2 linked regions of the Oryzias latipes genome follow. The protein of the gene in region 1 interacts with the protein of each later gene in a biochemical or structural test. Links are inferred from orthologs where the notes say so. Each region holds a gene or a part of one and is shown in the gene's direction. Other genes may lie near its edges.

Region 1 (10,343 bases):
TGAAACCGATAGTATGTAGACAGAAAAAAAAGCTAATCAAACACTGTGCTGTTGTCTAACATGATTTTTTGACAATGGAAATCTGGAGCCATGATTAACATATGGATGTTTTTAATACTGTGTTATTACTTGATGCTTCATTGTGTACATATTTACTTTTACTATAGATCACATGTGTCAAACTCAAGCATAAAAGTTTTTATTTTCTTAAAATAAAATAAAAATTGTTGTGTATTTAGTCATATCTAGGGGAAATCTGACTTAAAATATCGGAATGGGCAACTATACATTAGGACTTAAACACTGTCCATATAAACTAACCTGACAGAATCAAATGTAAAAAGATTTATGGTAGAGTAACAAGCAAACATACGTTTTTATGCAACTGTAATTGTCACTTTAAAAAGTTATAATAAATAAATAATGAGTTATTTAACATTAAGGAGTAGTTACATTTATTTTTCATTACATTTAGTTACATGAATAAGTCACATCTGGCCCTTTGAGGACAACCACTATGCTGATGTGGCCCTCAGTGAAAATGAGTTTGACACGCCTGCTATAGATCTATTTAAATCATGACTTCTGACTCGTTCAACTGCCTTTTTTGAAACTATCTTCACATCATTTCTTCTGTAACGTTTTAATTTCCCACTTTACACTGGGTCAGTAAACGTAACAAAAAATGCCCTCACTTTTAAAACCAGAGCTCCCCCTTGAGTTTTTAGTTTGCCCATGCATCTTTAGACCCAAGATCGCGAGCAGGGAACAGGTGGAGGAGAAGCTAGAGAGGTGGAGGTTTGCCCTGGAAAGGAGAGGAATGAAGGTTATCTGCAGGAAGATGGAGCACATGTGTGTGAATGAGAGGAACCCAAGTGGAAGAGTGAAGTTACAGGGAAAAGAGATAAAGAAGGTGGAGGATTTGAAGTATCTAGAGTCAACAGTCCAGAGGAATGGAGATGTGGAAAAGAAGTGGAGAAGCGAGTGTAGGTGGGTTGGAATGGGTGGAGAAACGTCTCAGGTGTGATGTGAAGAGTTTCAACTAAAATGAAAGTAAAGGTGTAGAAAACTGGTGAGAGTAGTCATGTTGTGGGCTTAGAGACACTGGCAATGAGGAAAATACATGAAGCAGAGCTGGAGGCAGCAGATATGAAGATGCTGAGGTTCTCTTTGGAAGTGACCTGGATAGGATCAGGAATGAGTGCATCAGAGCGACAGCACATGTTAGAGGCTTTGGAGATAAAGTCAGAGAGGCCAGACTGAGATGGCTGGGACATGTCCAGAGGAGAGACAGAATGCCTTTCTTTCGCCAAATGGAAGAGCGTTCAGTGTGTCACCAGTTATTAAGATGACATTTTTAAATAAATTTCAAGTTTTAATAGCTTTTAAATTTGTAGAATTTTTGAGAAGTCACTGTAGTTTTTTTGTTTTCACAAATGAAAAGAAGTAAAGATGGTTTCATGGAGGTATATTTACATTTATGGAATTTGGCTAGAAGAAAAATTAAATTGAGTAAATAGGCCTTCTTGTTTTCAATTAAAAAAACACAACAACCTAAGATAATATGCCTATAACAAAGAAAAACAAAACAAAATAACATAATGAAGAATATATTTTTCCAGCAAGTTTAGTACACCAGTCCAAAATGTTGTGGTACATGAACAGATCTTAAATTATGATATTTTATCATATTCTTCAATCTTTTTATGTTTTATGATGTTTTATCACATAATTTTATCATTTTATTTGCTTAATCTAGAATTTTTATTCTTGTATTTTATGACATTTTATCATATACATATCTGTTTAATCTAGAATTTTACTTGTATACTTTTTTTATGATATTTTAACACATTTATTTTATTAGACTGTTTACGAGTGTTTTCTCACCCTTGGCTGGGGTGTTTGTGTTTTATACTGACACCCCTGCCAATAGGAGGACAGGGCAGACGGCGCCTTCTGGTTTCTCTGGTTTATCTTTATTTATTTATTTATTTATTTATTTATTTATTTTCCACTGATATTTGTCTTTGTGTATTTTATTGTGTGGGGCTAATTTAACGTATCTTATTATATTTTATTGCATTTGATTTTGTTTTTATGTACAGCACCTTGAGCTGTCTTTGAAAGATGCTATATAAATAAAATTAATTTGAATTTGAATTTAAATGAATGTGTAACGGTTTCCAGAAGACTATTTCAAATTGATATCCTTTTGAAATCTGTGGGAGATAAAAAAACATTTAGTGGATAATATTTATATAACCATTCATTCATTGATTCATATTCGAATCTTCTAATTTTATCCTTTCAGGTTCACCGGGCTGCTGGAGCCTATCCGGGCCAATTGCGGGCAAAGGAGGGGACATCCTGGACAGGTTGTCAGTCTGTCACAGGGCCACAATCACACACACATGCACACACACATTCACACCTATGGACAATTTAGAGTTCCCAATGAACCTATGAAGCATGTTTTTTCTGTAGCAAGATTAAAAAAAAATTCAAAACCAGAAATGCTTTTTCATTTTAAAAATGAAGCTGTATTTGTTGACTCAAATTAAAATGAAAACACAATCTGCCAAACCGCTTTTTCTTTTTCAACACAACTCATTCTGTCACTTAATTAAAATGATAATGAAACGGTTTTTGACATTTCCTTTACAAAATGTTCTCTGGTAAATGTGATGCAAAATTCATTTAGAAATGTCTAATTTGACAATTAAAATGGACTAACAGAAATGCTTTTTCATTTTCACAATGTAACTGCATCAAATAACTCAAAATTAAAATGAAACATCAATCTTTCAAAATGCTTTTTCATTTCTACTTTAACATCTGTGACATAATTAAAGCAAAAATGCAAGGAGAGGATTGCATTTTCGTTTTCACATCCACCGTGCGAAAAGTGTCGCAATATTAAATTGAATCCGTTAGTTCAAAAGGGGCCCAAGTCCAAGAGGTTTGTTTTTCCAGGAAATGATTTTAATTGCATAGCTTATAGGGAGGCTACACCAAATGATGAATACTTTACCCAGATTTAGCACAAGTTCATAGCTTACAAATGCTATAATATGAAGCACCTCACTTTTATCATTTTAGAGGACTAGCAAACTAAAGTCTCTGGACTTGGACCCTTCTTGAATTAAACAGGGGTGCTGCCATATTGGATAACTAGTGCTGCCATCTATGGGATAAAGCTAAACCCATCCAAGAGAGGCCCAAGTCCAGGAAAATGCACTTAATGCATTTTAAATGTCAAGCATAGTCAATACATAACAACGGACTTGGGACTTTTTTTTGCACATAATCAGATAGCTTTTCCCTTGAAGACCATAGAAAAAATAAAATCTCTATTTTGAAAAATTGTGGACTTGGGCCCCTCTTGAACTGACCAATTCAATTCTAGTTAGCATTTGCAGGAGGGAGGCGGGGCAAAAAAGAAAAGAAAGAACATTTTGGAGGATTGCTTATTTTAATTTTGAGTCAACAAATGCAGCTGCATTTTCAAAATGAAAAAGCTTTTCTGGTATTGACTTTTATTTTTAATTATGCTACAGAAACACTTCCATAGTGGTACACATGCAAACTCCACGCAGAGACGTCCCCATTGATGTTCTGTTTCAGGACTTGAACCAGGGGCCTTCTTGCTGTCAGGCAAGAGTGCTGACCACTGTGCCACCATGTGCAGTGGATAGTGCTATAAACATTTAAAAGAAATGCATCTTATCTAAGTAGTTTAAAAATATTTATAATGTAATATCCACATTTTTTCCAGGGTGAGCTAGAGATTCTACTGTTCCAAAACAGAAATGATCTGTGGAGAAGAGACAGCAATCCAGCATTTGATGTCTGAGCCTGGAATCTTCATTTGGAGTCTTGTGATGGTCAGAGGGCCCCAGAGGGGCCCCAGAGGGCCCCCAGAGGGACCGCAGAGGGACCGCAGAGGGACCTGCCCCTATAGCGTTTTTGCTCCATGCAGATCGGGTTTTCTGTTTGGTTCGGGTGAGAACGGCAGCTTCTCAGTCCAGTTAGGAAGCCCAAAGTCTGGCTGATGGAATGAAGGAGTGAAGTGGTTCCAACACCTGGACCAGTTTGGTTCCGAGCAAATGGGGGACGTCCCCTTTAAACGTAGCTGCTGACGTCACCGTCTGTGTTCAGAGGCTTTGTTTGCCCGGACGGAGCCGCCGCTGAGAAGACCTGTAGAGAAGAGCGCCGAACCGATTTGCAGCGTCTGACTTAACCGGGCTGGACCTGACACCACGGCGACAAAGATGCCGTCCGACAGGCCTTTCAAGCAGCGGAGGACTTTCGGTAAGAAGAACCGGCCGCTGTGGGCCCCGCCAGCCCGTCCGCCACCGGACTTTCTCAGGGCAGGCCAGGGCCGCCGTGTCCGCGGATGGCCGGCCCGGTTCCGTCGCTGTCGGCAGGACCGGCGCGAGACCTCTGCAGGTTTTCGTGGGTCAGCTGGGTTCTTGTCACTCTGGGCCTGTTCCCGTTCTGCCAGACCTCCGATAGCAGATTAAAAACTGCGAGCCGGACCTCGGTTCCGTCAGTGCTTGACCCGTTTACCGTGGATGCTGCCATGTGACACCGGAAGCTCCTTCTGTTCTTCCAGAGGTCTCGCAGGTCGTGGAGGTTCAGGCGGTGCTTCTCTGTTGGGGGTCAGGGGAACGGTACTGTGGTGGGGGGGCAGCAGAAGGTCACTGACCACCTCAGGACTACTGTACTCTAACAAGGAAACGATCTAAAAGTAATAGATTACTTTAGCTGAGGCCCAACGGGGGCAGCCATTTCAACCAAGAAGCTGCTTATCACGTGTTCCTGCTGTAGAGGATTATTAAAAGATCAATTCTCAAGATGTTTAAATAGAAAACATTCAAAATGAGATAAATTGATATCGTTACCATTTGGATTGAAGTACAGTAGATTTATTTGACTATAAGGTTTAAAGTGACCAAGTGCATCACAGCAGACAACACAACATACATGTGATGTCATCAGCAAAAACTGATGAGTCCATCATTACAGTCCTATGTGTAGAAAATACTTTGAATATAAACATATATAGACAAAGTCATGTCACCATACAGTGTGGTAGAATGTTTTTAAAATGTTCCCTTTGGATCATTTTGATGTGGAAAAACAACAGTGGACTGAACTTTAGGAAACTAAAATGTGAATAGATTGGACATCCATTCTTGTTTACTTGTTTGTTTGTACACATATTTAATTTACACTTGATTATCTTGAAGAAACACAAGGAATCTGGAAAACTTCCCCTACACTGTTCAGAACCTGCAGGTATTTCTCTCTGAGTCACACTGGTGGACGTTTTGGCTAAAGGTGTCCTGGATCCACTTTAAGTCAGTGGATCAGATCCAATTGGATCGCCTAACATGAACCAAAATCCAAATTTAGTCAAATTGGCAACCACAGTCAGCTGTAGCTACTGAGCAATAACAACATTAGAGGACACCTCCATCTCAATGAAAGAGCAGAACCCCCTGCAGAACCAGATCCATGTTACTTGTTAAGGTTGAAACATTTGTTTTCTAGGAATCATTTTTGTGCTCGTGTCATTGTAATGGAAGAAGCTGCTCTCATCATTCCAGCACTCTGTCGTTCTTTAACAACACACACAGACAGCACTCAGCCTCTGGCCTCCATCTTTAATGTGAACAAGTGAAACTGCAGCAGCAGGAAAGGAACCCTTAAGTGAGGTTTGATTTCTGCCGGGGTTCAAAAACAAGAAATGCAGCATTCTAAATGACACCAGGAAACACTAGCTAATTAATCCACATGTACTCAATGTCTATGATAAATGAAAAACTCCAGGAATACAAAAGACAAGGACAGAGGGAACAAGGTGTCAAATTCATTTTGGTTTGGGGGCCGTCTGATCTCATGTGGGCCAGACCAGTAACATAAAGGCAAAATAACAGCTTTGTGGTTTTTTTTCTTAGTTGGAAAAAATGCCTTAACCATAGGAGGCAAATCCCTTATTATTACAGATTCATTGACAGAGGCCAAGGGATCTAAAACAAAATGCATTTCACTTAAAAAAAACATGGTCGATTCAATTTTATACAGACTGAAGCAATCCTGATAATAAACTCAAGAGGGGCTACGGAAAAAAAAGAAACACCTTGCCTAAGATTTAAATGTGTAAATAAAGGAAAAATTAGACTAAATCATACTTGCAAACATATGTGAGCAATTTGGAGTTAACCTCCCTTTCTCTCCTGAAACCATCCATCAATATCAGGATTTAAATCCTGTGCAGCAACACATTTACTGTCATTCAAGTGTGCAAAACACAATGAAATTTCCAAGAGTCTTTTCCTGGTTTGCTGCCAGAATTTTGTGGCAACACCTGCCTTCTTCCTGAGCTTTGATGGGGCGCCATCAGTGACCAGACTGACATCATGTGACCAGTTCACTCCAACATTGTCCAGCACAGTAACTAGAGAGCTGACTATGTCATCAGCTGTTGTTTTGTCCATCAACTCAAGAAACTCTGCTGTGATGGTCTGCTCAACACCTCTAATAAATATGCACAACTTTATTCATCTGTGATGTCGGTGCTTTCATCAACAGTGACTGAAAATACAATAAATGACTAGATTCCTTCATTTGGCCGTCCAAGTCTCCTCGGAGATGTTGTGTAATCGTAATCCTTGACAGACTCATGTTGGCAAAGGTAGACTGCTTTTTGGGGTACAACACTTCTGCATCCTTCATATTTTCCATAAGTTCACAATCCAAAAATGGATTGGATGTTTGCTCCAACTTGTCTGCAATAAGGTGTCTATCACTGCTCTATCACTGACGTCACGGCTGCAGTTAATGCAGACGGTTGTTTTTTCAGTCTAGCTAATAGTTGGTAAATCTTCTCTTTTCTTAACTGCAAATAGTGAAACTTTTTTTATGTTGAGTCTCATAATGGTGCTGAATGTTATATTCGTTGAGCACTGCAACCTTTTGATGGCATACCAAGCATGCAGGTTTTCAGGTTTCAGCTCCATGAACAAATAAAACTCTTTCCATTTTTCCTGGAAAGCTCAGCCCTCCACTTCAACCTTTTTTACTTTTGTTGCTTTGTGATTCTACCCCCTCCCATACGTCTTTATCATCCTCCAACTACTTGAACCCCATTTTCCCCCCTTTCTTTTGTACCCATGTCCCCCATCTCTAACATCCCTCTTCCTCTTTCTCTCCTTTTTTTCCATCCAGTCCAGCAGGAGATGTATGCAAAAATATTTAATGTAAAGTTTAGCTTCATATACAAAATAAGTTTATACAAATATACACCTTGTGTGTTAGAAGATTCCTAACCTCCTATTGTTACAGTAACATCTGTCCAATACAAGAAGCCTTCAGCTCTGATTTGTTTTCTCGCCTTCTGCACAGGACAAGAACAAATTTCATGTGGTTTTAGAAGATGCCCAGTTGCTCCATTACAGCCTTCACATTAGCACTGCAGAACACTCAGGCAGTTAACATACAGAACCTTTCAATGTTTTTCTGGGTCTGGTTTCCCCACAGCTGACCGGTGCAAAGAGGTGCAGCAGATCCGGGAGCAGCACCCAAACAAGATCCCTGTAAGCTGCCTTTAACTTGATCATCACTGCATGCATTGAAGACCAGCTTTTACCATGTGGACATTTCTCTGAGCATGCTAATGCATTAGGAAAGCATGTGGCAGAACTCCTATGTTTCCATGTTTGGTGGGGGAGGGGGGTACCCAACATATAGAAAAGACAGACAAACTTATCTTTGTCTGCAGGTGATCATTGAACGGTATAAGGGGGAGAAACAGCTGCCCATTCTGGACAAGACCAAGTTCCTGGTACCTGACCATGTCAACATGAGTGAGCTGGTAAAAATAATCAGGTTGGTCCCTCGTTTGCTTTCATTAAACTTCAACTTTGGATGACAGAGAGGCTTGTTTAGTCTGCCACTGCAGAAACGTAGCATAAAAAAGGGAACAGAGCAGGAGAGCTGGACCAGAGAAGCGAACAAATGTACAAAAACTGAAAAAGCATGAGACAAAGCACAGGGCCCTGCGGTACACCATCCCTGGCTTGTGTATATTTACAGTATCAAACTGAAAGTTATCGTTTTAATATGGATTCTTTCTAGCTTGGTTTCAGTCATGAAGTAAACCCAACAGTGCTGTGCTACACATCAGTCCATGATTGGGTGTCATTCTAACCTGCAACGGCGAGTAATACACTAAGAGGTTCATTGAGATTTACTCACTAATAGGGCTGCGTGATATGAGGAAAACTTGCGATATGAGAGATTAATATTGCGATAATGATATAATTTGCGGTACATAATCAAATGGCAAAATAACCAAAAACATCATTCCCATTTCATTCCAACAGTTTTAAAATTATATGACCCTCGTCAACATAGGTGACAAACAGCTAACAGAATAGGCCTCCACCTGATTGGTCAACAATATGAAGGCGTACATCCGATTGGTCAAATGCATAAAGGGATTTAATTGATTCTTTAAATGCCTCAAGCTGCCATAAGATTGTTTTAACACATTTAAGGTTTACAATTTATTGTGATTTTTGCAGATTTTTGCCAATTAATGATATGGATATCGCAGAGCTGGGTATTGCGATAACGATAAATTTGCGATGTATCGTGCAGACCTACTCACTTAAAGTACAAAAACCAGAACATGATTTGATAAATGAAACCAAGCTAGTAGAGGTGCAACGCAAGGCACGTTTACCGCTGCCTGTTAAAGGCAGATTTACCTTTTTTAGCGGGTGCAGGTTCCTCTTCTGTCTCTTCATTGGACCGTTTCCCCTTGTCAAAGCAACTTTCTAAAGAAGTTTGTTTTTTGCTCATTTTGGTTGTTTGGGTTTAATTTTAGCGGGGTGTATCATGTGATGTTTGGTGTCGCGACTTTGACGTGCGTGAAATGTGACGGATGTAACAGAGAAAATCCAGTCAATTTTCAAAATAAAACGTTTTTGCGAAAAAAAACAATAAAATGGAAATTATTTTTTCTTTCTGTGCGTCCCGGTGCCAAAATTTCCCGCGGCCCGGTACCGGTCCACGGCCCGGTGGTTGGGGACCACTGATTTACAGCATTGATTATCTTATTTGTTTTCAGATTTGTGAATTTATGGCTGAGGATCTCCTGAAACTGTAAAATAACCTGTAAAGTTTATCTGCTGACATTACGCTAAATCAACAGGCATGTGTGTTGTGTTCATTTTATGTTAAATCTTTCAGTTTCTTATTTTTAAAAACTGCTTTTGTAAGAAAAGAATTTTCATAAAAAAAGCTACTTTCTCTTCATATTTCAACATCAATTGATAAAAATAAGACATGGAGTTGGAGTTCAGACGTTTTATTCTGCCACGGGGTTTTAAACAAAATGGTCGCTACACTAAAAGAAAGAAATGCTAAACCCTGTTTTTATTTCATTTTTGTGGCTTTGCTGCTCCTTCTGAGAGAAACGCGCCAGAATTGTTGAAAACGGCAGAAACCCCTTCGAACAGAACCGATACAAAGTCCACGTCTTCCTCCAAGCACTTAATACAAGACAGAGACACCTGATTAGTTAGAATCTAGACCAATCAGCAGGCTGTTTGATGGCAGCTTTGTCACGCTAAACTGAAACTTATGAGAGCAAAGTCATAAGGAAAAAAGCGAGATGAGACAACGCATGTGAAAACATTTGTGCTGTAAATTCAAAATTATTTTTTGAAAACAAATATTTCATATTTTTTTTGCAACTTAGAACGTTTTGTTTGCAATGTGGTGGCATAAATATCACTTCATATTAACCATGATGCACAGCATTTGCTCACCTGAATCTCCAGGTAACTGGAGATAAAACAGCAGACCAACCAATCTGTAGCCAAGTTTCCATGACACATATGCACAAAACTTTATTGAAATTCTAGAAGAAAAAAATTGGCAATTACACTGTTTCTATTAAACTCTGATTACGTGAAAAATTACAAACCAACTCACGATAAGTTATTCAAAAATGTGGTGATGAATGTGAACAATGCTTTGATTTACAGCAGATACGTTCAGATTTCTGCCACGGCACTAGCGCTCATCATCATCTCTATCAAAGGAGACGTTGGCGTCTTATTCAGACTTTGGAGCGGCGAGCTCCTTAAACGTAGGAGCGGCTACAAATGAAGCCATTTTTGGAAATGGTGGGTGGTGATTTTAGAGATGTGGATCCAAAAACTCCACATGACGCGCTCAACTTTTGATGAGCTGTGTGACGCTGTGGGACCTCTTGTGGCGCCCGCTGTGCAGTGTCCAAGGCCGCCACTACCCACCAAGAGGCG
Region 2 (10,380 bases), about 3.6 Mb from region 1:
GGGTGGGAGACTTCGGACTGCGATCCGTCCCGCAGCTCTAGGTGAACGAGCCACCGAACTCAGGAGAACCGGGTCTCCCGGTAAATGTGTGTGTCCGGGAAGAGCTCGGACCGTCAGCTCACACAGCTGCTTTGGGGCGGTGTGTGAGCTTTTCAAAGCAGAAATGTCGCTGAGTCCTTAGAAACTGTTCAAACAATCATCTGGATTTGTGTTTCCAGTCGTGTCCCGACAAAATAAAGGCTGATGTTATTCCCACATATTTACGTGCAGCCAAGATGCAGATTGCAGCGCTTCCCGCATGGATTTTATATTCATCAAAGGCTAATGTTGTTAGCCCTTCTTCCAGCTCCGTTCTTCAACAGAAAAAGCACAGAACACACGGGTTAAAAAGAAAATGATGAGCAAACAGGCGCTTCATAATAACCGTAACATTGATAAAAGCACGTTTAGAAGATCATCTAGTATATTGTGGAGCTGCCGGATATCTATGTATGTAGCCTCTCAGCGTAACTCATTTTCTCTTCCGGTATTTCAAACACTACTGAGTATGTGCGAATGATTTATACCAACCGAAAATGTGACCCATGTGAACGTTTGTGATAATTGGAAAAGGTTTTTCTGGGCCCATGTACACAATTAAATTCTAATCCGACCGTTGATCCGATCACTTGGGGGTTACTGCCCCGAGTGCTCCAATTACCACAGGCACCACTGTCACCTTCACTTTCCATGTTTTCTCCAGTTTTTCTCTGAGTCCCTGGTATTTCTCCAGTTTCACATGTTCCTTCTTCCTGATGTTCCCATCGCTTGGCACTGCCATATCCACCACAATGGCTTTCCTCTGTTCTTTATCCACCATTACAATTTCTGGTTGGTTCGCCATTGCTATCCTATCAGTCTGGATCTGGAAGTCCCACAGGATCTTTGCCCTCTCATTCTCTACCACCTTCGGAGGTGTTTCCCATTTTGACTTTGGGGTTTCCAGTTCATATTCTGCACACATGTTCCTGTATATTATTCCAGCCACTTGGTTGTGGTTATCCATGAATGCTTTCCCTGCCAGCATCTTACATCCTGCAGTTATGTGCTGGATTGTTTCAGGCGCCTCTTTTCACAGCCCACACCTTGGGTCTTGTCTGGTGTGGTAGATCTGACCCTCTATTGCTCTGGTGCTCAGGGCTTGTTCCTGAGCTGCCAGGATGAGTGCTTCAGTGCTGTCCTGTAGGCCAGCCCTTTTTAGCCATTGGTAGGACTTCTTGATATCAGTCACTTTAGTTATGGTTCAGTGGTACATCCCATGCAGGGGTTTTTCCCATGAGGATATGTCCTCCAGCACTGCATCCTCTGCTTTCCATTGTCTGAGACATTCAGGTCGTACGCTCAGTGTACGCTCAGTAGCAGGGTCAAAACAGCCGATCAGACCTAAACCTTTGTAAAGATGGATGTGGATATAAAATAAAAGCATATTATTCGGTCACCACTAGCTCCGTGGAGAAAGTGAGTGGGTGTGTTAGCTTGGGGGTGGGCAGTGCAGACTCTTCCTGGAAGGGGCTGTTCTCCCTGGTCAATGTCAGCTCGTGAGAACCTGCTAATTTTTGTAGGTCGGGAGGGGCTGGTGCGCAGACCACAGGTTTTTAGAGGCATACTCAGAAATGCGTGAATGGATCAAAATACTTTTTTGGGGTTTGTTTTTGTGTGGAAGGAACCTTATAATACACTTAAAAGCTATGAAAAATTATTTTGCATGGAAAAGGCCATATTAAAAAATCAGTTGTTGAGCTCAAACCCATTTTTTATCGTAGATGGTTGCTGTTTTCTTCCGTAATTGTTCAGGGATTGATTGCAATTGCAAATGTACGTTTTAACATCTTGCAGGGACTCTGTAACATGCTTTAAGCAGACTCTGTAACATGCATTAAGCAGACTCTGTAACATGCATTTTGCAGACTCTGTAACCTGCATTTTGCAGACTCTGTAACCTGCATTTTGCAAATAGTGATCTGTGAGGTTTAATTGCAACAAAAAAACAAATTAGTATTCCTTATAGGTATTTTCTTACAACAGTAAAATATTTTGTTTTACTGTTGCATCCATATCCAAGACCATTGGTATCATTGTTGATAATGCAGAGAGTCTAACTAGTTCACTAACCACAGTCAAAAGATGTGAACTAGTAATTTTTTTAAACTGTAGACTAGTTCTTCCTATTTAGGCTCACCAGTTTACTAACAAAGCACAAAAACACCAGTGATATTTTTTCTAACATCCATGATTTCTCGTCATGTCCCACTACAAGTAAAATTCAATGCATTATTTCTATGAGTTCAGGATTGAAGATCCTTGTATACCTTACTTTAAACTAGTCCACTTTTGAAAGATAAAAATCCTTCTTGGGAACAAAGGTAAGTTGTTCTTTTCCTAACTGCTTCCCAAGTAGGTCCAAAATGTATTCTAGTCAAGTAACTATAAGTGTATTATTTTCTTTTATTGTAAACATTTACTTATGCAAAAATTTGCACCAAAAAATGTGTTAACAATTAGCTATATTTGATGCACTTGATATCTGGATAAGTAATAAGCTAATTACATGCTGACAATGTCTTACATCATTTTCTAGGAAAGTAAAATTACAAATGCCCATAGCTCACAATAATGCATATATAGCAGTGTTAGTGTACTAGTAAACATTAAAATGTGCACCATATTGCACACTAGCTGACTACGAGATTTTTTTTTCATTTGATAACAAGTAAAATGTAAAAAACATTTACCACAAAAAAATGGGTTTTTGGATCACTTGAAAACTAGTAAATGTATTTGGTCAGAGAGTCTTACACTTGAAGTTTATTTTATTAGGTATACTTTAGTATAAATATTGCAAGTGTTCTATGGATCATGTACATGTAGTGTAGAAAGTACTATCTAAAGATTTCTTCAGATTAAATGTGAAATTTTTAAGTTTACAATAAAGAGATAGCATATAAAAAGTGAACTTCAAGTATCCTGCCTCACTTTTAGTATTGACAAGGTATACTTGTATTTTAAATTAAACAGACTACTTTTCCTAAATGCTAAAGGCAGTTAACCAGTCAAATCCACAGGGGTTTTAATACTGAATTTGTAAAGATTTTGCATGGTAGAGATATATTTTTTCTTTGTTATTGTAAATCACTAGTACTCCAAAATAAGATGAATTATATTATTTCACTTCAGCACAATATTGTACCTTATTAGTACACATTTGTGACTGACTATTTAAATTGACTTTCTGCATTACTGGCAAGGCTGAACATGCTCTTATATCAAGGATATAGATTTATTGTAAAAAAATAAATAAATAAAAAAGTCAACCATAACTGTCAGCCCTATATCAGAAAGGATATAATTTAAATGCAAAGAAGTGTCAACTGCTCCATGTTCAGCAAATAAAAAAGGTGATCGAACAAGGAACGTTGCAGCACACACGTAACCACTCCACCCCTCTCCCCCGGTGCGGGATTCCTTCCATTCCGCGTCTACATGGAATGATTTTTGTCTTTACTGTCCTGCGACCACTTTGGAAAATAATTATATACATACTTAAAAAAATAATCAAATATCTGCTTTAAAAGTTAGAAACTGTGGACGTGCAGCCGTAAAACTTAGTGTGTTATTTTTAATAAATATATCTAAAATCTTTAACCCTAGGAGGAGGAAAGACGGAGTATTCTGCGTGTGGTTTGCATTCATGATCCGCTTCCTTAGAGCCTTTATTTAACCGAAATGAAAAGAAACGGCGCGTACAGGTTTCTGTCCGTGTTCTCCTGTTTCATCGTTTGCGCTTTTTTGTTTTTGTTCTGGTCTTTCGTGTTTTACTCTATGATGCGGGCGCCGTAAAAAGATTAATGCTAAGCTAAAAGGGGGTATGCTACCTTCCCACAATCCTTTGCTCTGTTGACAATTTCCACGATCACATGATCAACTCCACCAGGAAGTAGCCGTTGAGGGTGAGTCTCGTTCAGTAATTCCTTTCTGTCTGGTTTAACTTGTGTTGTGTGTTTGTTCTTGTTGTTACTCGTCCTCCCTTCGGTCTTTTTTTCCCCAGAAGGTTCCTCGTGATTAAAAGTTCAACTTGTTAAAGCGCCGTTTTCTGATTACAGTGGGGCTTCTTTTGAATTGCCAAAATCTACACTAACTAATCCTTTTATTTCCCCTGACTACATGTACATTGTGTTTTAAAATGGTGGTGGAGATACATTAAAATGAAATAAATAAATCTAATAAGGCAAGATGGGTTCTGAGAAATGTCATTGGATCTGCTGGGGCAGCAGAGACAGTGGGATTCTTTCATTTCTTCTTTTTTTTTAATTATTTTTTTGTTCTGTGTTTGTATATATATATATATATATATATATATAAATAAAAATAAATAAAACGCCCCTCTCCAGTTCATCAACTCTTCAGTTCATGAACTGGAAACCCCAAAGTCAAAATGGGAAACACCTCCGAAGGTGGTAGAGAATGAGAGGGCAAAGATCCTGTAGGACTTCCAGATCCAGACTGATAGGATAGTAATGGCGAACCAACCAGACATTGTAGTGGTGGATAAAGAACAGAGGAAAGCCGTTGTGGTGGATGTGGCAGTGCCAAGCGATGGGAACATCAGGAAGAAGGAACATGAGAAACTGGAGAAATAACAGGGACTCAGAGAAAAACTGGAGAAAGCCTGGAAAGTGAAGGTGACAGTGGTGCCTGTGGTAATTGGAGCACTCGGGGCAGTAACCCCCAAGCTGGAGGAGTGGCTACAACAGATACCTGGAAAGACCTCAGACCTCTCAGTCCAGGAAAGCGCAGTGATAGGAACAGCTAAGATACTGCAGGACCCTCAAGCTCCCAGGCCTCTGGTAGAGGACCCGAGCTTGGAGGAGAAACCACCCGCGGAGGGTGAGAGGGGCTTTTTTTTTTTTTTAAATATATATAAATATATATCCACACATTTTTCTTTCCTCACAAAAATTTACTACAAAAAAAACCTTCAGTGTCAATGTGCAAAAAGATTTATACAAAGTAATGTACATGAAACAAAAATATTAAATGAAATATAATTGTTTGCATAATTGTCAACCCGCTTTGAAATTTAAGGGTCTAATTCAATAGAGGTTTATTAAATTAGTGCCAATAGTCTCACAATTAGTGAGTTTTTGGCCATCAGACAAGAAGATTTGTTTGGCGGAAACCAAGTACTGCACATCATCAAAAATACATTATCACCACTGTGAAGCATGGTGGTGGCAGCATCATGCTGTGGGGATTTTGTGTGTATTTTGCAGCACTGTGGGAGTGCTGCAAAATACACTGAAATCTTGGTGGACAATATCTTACGGTCTGCAAGAGGACTACTGCTTGGGAGGAGATTTTTTTTTCAGCAAGACAATGATCCAAATGATACTGCAAAAGCTACACGAGAAGTTTAAAAAGAAAAAGATAAATGTTCTGGAGTGGCGGTTTTGCATAGATGAATGAAGCAGAACTTCAGTGTGCAGATGTACAGGACTGATTGAGACTTATCCACACAGACTCAGTGCTGTGATTGCAGCCAAAGGTGGATGCACTCAATACTGATTTAAATGGGTTGAACAATTATGCAAACTGTTATATTTCATTCATTTTTTTGTTTCATTTACATTACTTTGTAGAAATCTGTTTTCACATTGACTTTGAAGGTTTTTTTCTTGTAAATATTTGTTTGAGGAAAGACAAATTGTATTGACCACGAGTGATTCAACAAATATTCAAGGGGGTGAACACTTTTGCAAGGGACTCTGTAATATATATTCTCCTGTTTTTTCAGACATTTTTCAGCCAAGTTGCACTTTTTTTCACAAGGTACACCACCAACCTGAAATGTTAAAAAACAAAACAAAAAGAAGAATCTCTTTAATCTGTATTCAAAAATACAACTATTCTTATCAAAACGCTGATTTACAAGACGTTTCTCTGCTTATGCAAGTGTTAAGTTCTTTAAAGTAACTTCAGTGAAAATGTCCACATCCTTACTGTAGTTGGGGGAAAAAAATAGAAATAGTTGAGTCCCCCCCCCCCCCCCCCCCAAACTCAATAAATCAAGTAGGACTTCATAAAGTTGAACTTTTATTTGCAATATATTTGTTCATTTTTTAAATGTTAATCATCTCTGTTAGTCTTTCATCATCTTGGGGGATGAAACATGAAATCCATGTTGTCATAATGCTTTTCTTTTTTTACAAACTTGCATTTGATAATGGTTTTTTTAAGTGTTGGGTAATCCAGGACAGCCGGTGTAATTGTTTATGTTTTGAGAAATAAACGATGAATGGCCCAAGGCTAAACACTGGAGGTCTGGGATGTTTCTCCTCTTGATCTGCTGGTAAATTGAAATGTACCAGACTTCCAAGATCACTCTGTCTCCTCAAAGGGTAATTATTTACTGTACTTAATCTAAACAAGACTGTCAGTGAGGCATACGCTTTAATGCTTTAATACAATAAGATGAGATAATTCACTTTTTAAGGGCTGATGATTTTCATTGAAGTTTTTATACTGAAAGCTATTAAAGCCAAGTTGCTTTCAAACAGTATTTAAGTGTTTGGTAGCTCTACACTGAGTTGGTAGGAATAGATACAGTGGGGAAAAAATAATTTTATCAGACACCAATTGTGGATTTTCTTCTATTTAAAAAGATGAGAGAGCCCTGTAATTTTTCATTATAGGTTAACCTCAACTATGAGAGACAAAATGAAAGTGAAAACCCCCCCCCCCAGAAAATCTGATCACATTGTCTGATTTTTAAATAATTTATTTGTAGATTATGGTGGAAATAAGTAAGTATTTGGTCACCTATAAAAAAGCAGGATTTCTGGTTCTCACAGACCTGTAACTTCTTCTGTAAGAGGATCCTCTGTCCTCCACTTGTTACCTGTTTTAATGGCGCCTGTTTGAACTGGTTATCTATATAAAAGACACCTGTCCACAACCTCAAACAGTCACACTACAAACTCCTCTATTGCCAAGACCAAAGAGCTGTCTAAGGACACCAAAATCAAAATGGTTGACCTGCACCAGCCTGGGAAAACTGAATCTGCGATAGTTAAGCAGTTTGGTGTGAATAAATCAACTGTGGGAGCAATTATTCTGAAATGGAAGACATACAAGACCACTGATGATCTCCCTCAATCTGGGGTTCCCTGCAAGAACTCACTCATTGGGTCAAAATGATCACAAGAACAATGAGCAGAAATCCCAGAACCACATGGGGGGACCTAGTGGATGACCTGCAGAGAGCTGGGACCAAAGTGACAAAGGCTGCCATCAGTAACACACTACGCTGCCAGAGACTCAAATCCTGCAGTGCCAGACGTGTCCCCCTGCTAAACCCAGTACATGTGCAGGCCCGTCTAAAGTTTGCTAGAGAGCATTTGGATGATCCAGAAGAGGATTGGGAGAATGTCCTATGGTCAGATGAAACCCAAAAATAAATTTTTGGTAAGAACTCTACTCGTGTTTGGATGAGAAAGAATGCTGAGTTGCAGCTAAAGAACACCTTAACTACTGTAAAGCATGGGGGTGGAAACATCATGCTTTGGGGCTTTTTTTCAGCAAAGGAATCAGGACGACTGATCCATGTAAAGGAAAGAAGGAATGGGGCCATGTATGGTCAGATTTTGGGAGAAAATCTCCTTCCACCACTAAAAGGCATTAAAGATGAAACCTGGCTGGGTCTTTCAGCATGACAAGGATCCCAAACACACTGCCCGAGCATTGAAGGAGTGGCTTTGTACAAAGCATTTCAAGGTCCTGGAGTGACCTAGCCAGTCTCCAGATCTCAAGTCCGTAGAAAATCTTTGGAGGGAGTTAAAGGTTCATGTTTCCCAGTGACAGCCCCAAAACATCACTGCTCTAGAGGAGATCTGCATGGAGGAATAGAAGTTTGTGTTTGGGAAAACCTTGTAAAGACTTATAGAAAATGTTTGACTGTTGTCATTTCCAACAAAGGTTATATAACAAAGTATTGAGTTGAACTTTTGTTATTGACCAAATATTTAATGTTTCACCATAATTTACAAATCAATTATTTAAAAATCCGATAATGGAATTTTCTGGATTTTTGTTGTCATTGTGTCTCTTATAGTTGAGGTAAACCTATGATGAAAATTACAGGTCTCTCATCTTTTTAAGTGGGAGAACTTGCACAATTGGTGGCTGACTAAATACTTTTTTGCCCCACTGTAAATGGCGAGCAATGTATAGAAAATTATCATCCAAAGAAAAAAAACTTAACTTTTCCACTTTTTTGTTATACTTTGTGTTTTCAGAGCTTGTTTCTTTTTTTGCTGAGTGATTGAAGTTACCATGACGTCAGACATCAGTGGAGCGCCACCATCCGCTGCAGATCTCAAGCTGCAGTTTGCACCCTTCAGCAGCGCTTTGGAGGCCGGCTTCTGGCATCAGCTCACTCAAAAGAAACTTAATGACTACAAATTGGATGAAAGCCCTAAATGCATCAAAGGATATTACTATAACGGTGAGTGGCTTGATCAGGTGGTGTCACTATAATAAACCCTTGTAGGTGCAATGGCGGCTTTGAATTATTTCATCTTTATTCATGTAAAATGTTCCACTTTTATTTGACAGGTGACCCTGTTGGCTTACCCACTCGCTTGACTCTGGAGTTCAGCGCGTTTGATGTGTAAGTGCAGCATGCTGTTAACACAAACATGATTGCAAGTAGTTGTTTTACAGTTTACAAGCAAAACATGAAACACAGTTTAAAGCCTATAGTAATAATTCAGTCTTGATAAAGGCCCCCAGCCGTCACACCCTCCTGTGTTTTGTTAGGCGTAAGCTTTTGAGAATAACGTGCATTTAAAATGTCCTTTCTTTTTATTACAATCATATAAAAATACTAAATCTAAAGTATATTTCCAAGCTATCTCGAGGTGTGGATTTCCTAAGGGTTCGCTGTTGTTCCCTTCAGTATATTCAATTCTGATGTGCATCAGATGTACTTTATTATGAAAGGCTGCTGTGAATTCTGTTATTACTTTTTCTTTGAAAAGACTTTTAAGAGCTTTAAATGAGCCTTTAATCATAATCATTCAGATATATTTGGTGGCCACGGTTCCTGAAGTGAAGATGACGGCTTCCCGGGTCATTTTCAACTTTTTTAAAAGGCTGCTTTGAACCTCATTCGGCAGTTTCAGCAATGTGTCAAAAAGTCAATCAAACGGTTCATTTATTCTTTTTAGACCTGCAGGAGTTGACTATTGCAATGACTGTTGTACAACAAGAAAGCTAACTGCATCGGTCTGTGCAGAAAGACAATAATCATAGTGGAACATTTTCATTTTAAATGTTGATTGTTGTTTTGGGTAAGCAAATAAATTCAAACTGCACATTAAGTGAATAGTTTGTACAGAATTAATTTGATATGCAAGACCTTCTGCTCCTCAAAATCCACCTGTGTATTCTCAATTTAGTCTGTTACGAAGCTTTTTGTCATTATAGTGAGATCAGTTACCATCCATTCCATAAAGTACAGCAGATAAATCAACTCTGTTTCATCATGGAGGAAGGAGTTCCTGTGTTGCATCTCTGGAGCTCACAGCAGCAGGTGGAGTTCCTCCTATTTTAGCTCTCTCTGTCTCGCTTCCACCTCTTTACTATGGACCCAGCTGAGCCTATCAGCAGTCATGCCAGGCATTTTGAGAGGATTCATGCGAAGTGAGGGATGCATCATCTCTTCTCCTCCCATGGGGCCAAGGACAGATTTTTTTCTCCTTTTAGTCTCTGAAAAAAAATGCTTGGAATCATCTTTGGACGAACGTCTTTACAGCATAAAAATACATCAGCAGTTTACATTTTTGAAATGTAAAATGAGTTTACCCCTCTGTTGTATTCATACAAGAATAAATCTAAGAACTGACACCGAATTTGAGTCTAGCTTTGACTTAACAAGAAAAGGAAGTGGATGAGGACACAACTAATGTTAATGTTATGTCTTAAAGAGCCAATCGGTACTAAAACCTATTTAATTAGTGCTTCTATATATGTTTTAAAGACCCACTCCAACGAAAATAGTGTTTTTGGTGTTTTTAACTTGTTTTTCTGGCTCATGGCGGACGATATACATGTAAAGAAAAATTAAGGTTAAAATAGCATTTTTGAGCATTTCTTTATTCAAATTGTTGTAAATCAGGAGCAGGCAAAACAATTGCTGTGGAAAAGGCTTGTAGGTGTGACGTAGACGCTGCAACAGCAAGCCACAAGCTCCCTGCTCTGCTCCCTTCTGATGCATCCACTTGCAAACAAATAGATCCATGTATAATCTAAAAAATAAAAGTTCTTTAAAAATTAGTATGACTA

What was found.
Region 2: the proteins of map1lc3a (region 1) and atg7 form a complex in vitro, tested with the Homo sapiens proteins (2 studies listed by BioGRID, with this or other methods). The link is inferred for Oryzias latipes from reciprocal best matches to the Homo sapiens genes MAP1LC3A and ATG7.

What each region holds. Positions count from the first base shown.
Region 1 is NC_019863.2:5,854,978-5,865,320, forward strand, and holds the start of map1lc3a (microtubule-associated proteins 1A/1B light chain 3A), read left to right. Parts: upstream 1-4,140; 5' UTR 4,141-4,274; coding exon 4,275-4,314; intron 4,315-7,548; coding exon 7,549-7,604; intron 7,605-7,789; coding exon 7,790-7,896; intron 7,897-10,343. UniProt on the Homo sapiens protein: Ubiquitin-like modifier involved in formation of autophagosomal vacuoles (autophagosomes). While LC3s are involved in elongation of the phagophore membrane, the GABARAP/GATE-16 subfamily is essential for a later stage in autophagosome maturation.
Region 2 is NC_019863.2:9,478,906-9,489,285, reverse strand, and holds the start of atg7 (ubiquitin-like modifier-activating enzyme ATG7), read left to right. Parts: upstream 1-3,493; 5' UTR 3,494-3,986; intron 3,987-8,330; 5' UTR 8,331-8,367; coding exon 8,368-8,539; intron 8,540-8,649; coding exon 8,650-8,704; intron 8,705-10,380. UniProt on the Homo sapiens protein: E1-like activating enzyme involved in the 2 ubiquitin-like systems required for cytoplasm to vacuole transport (Cvt) and autophagy.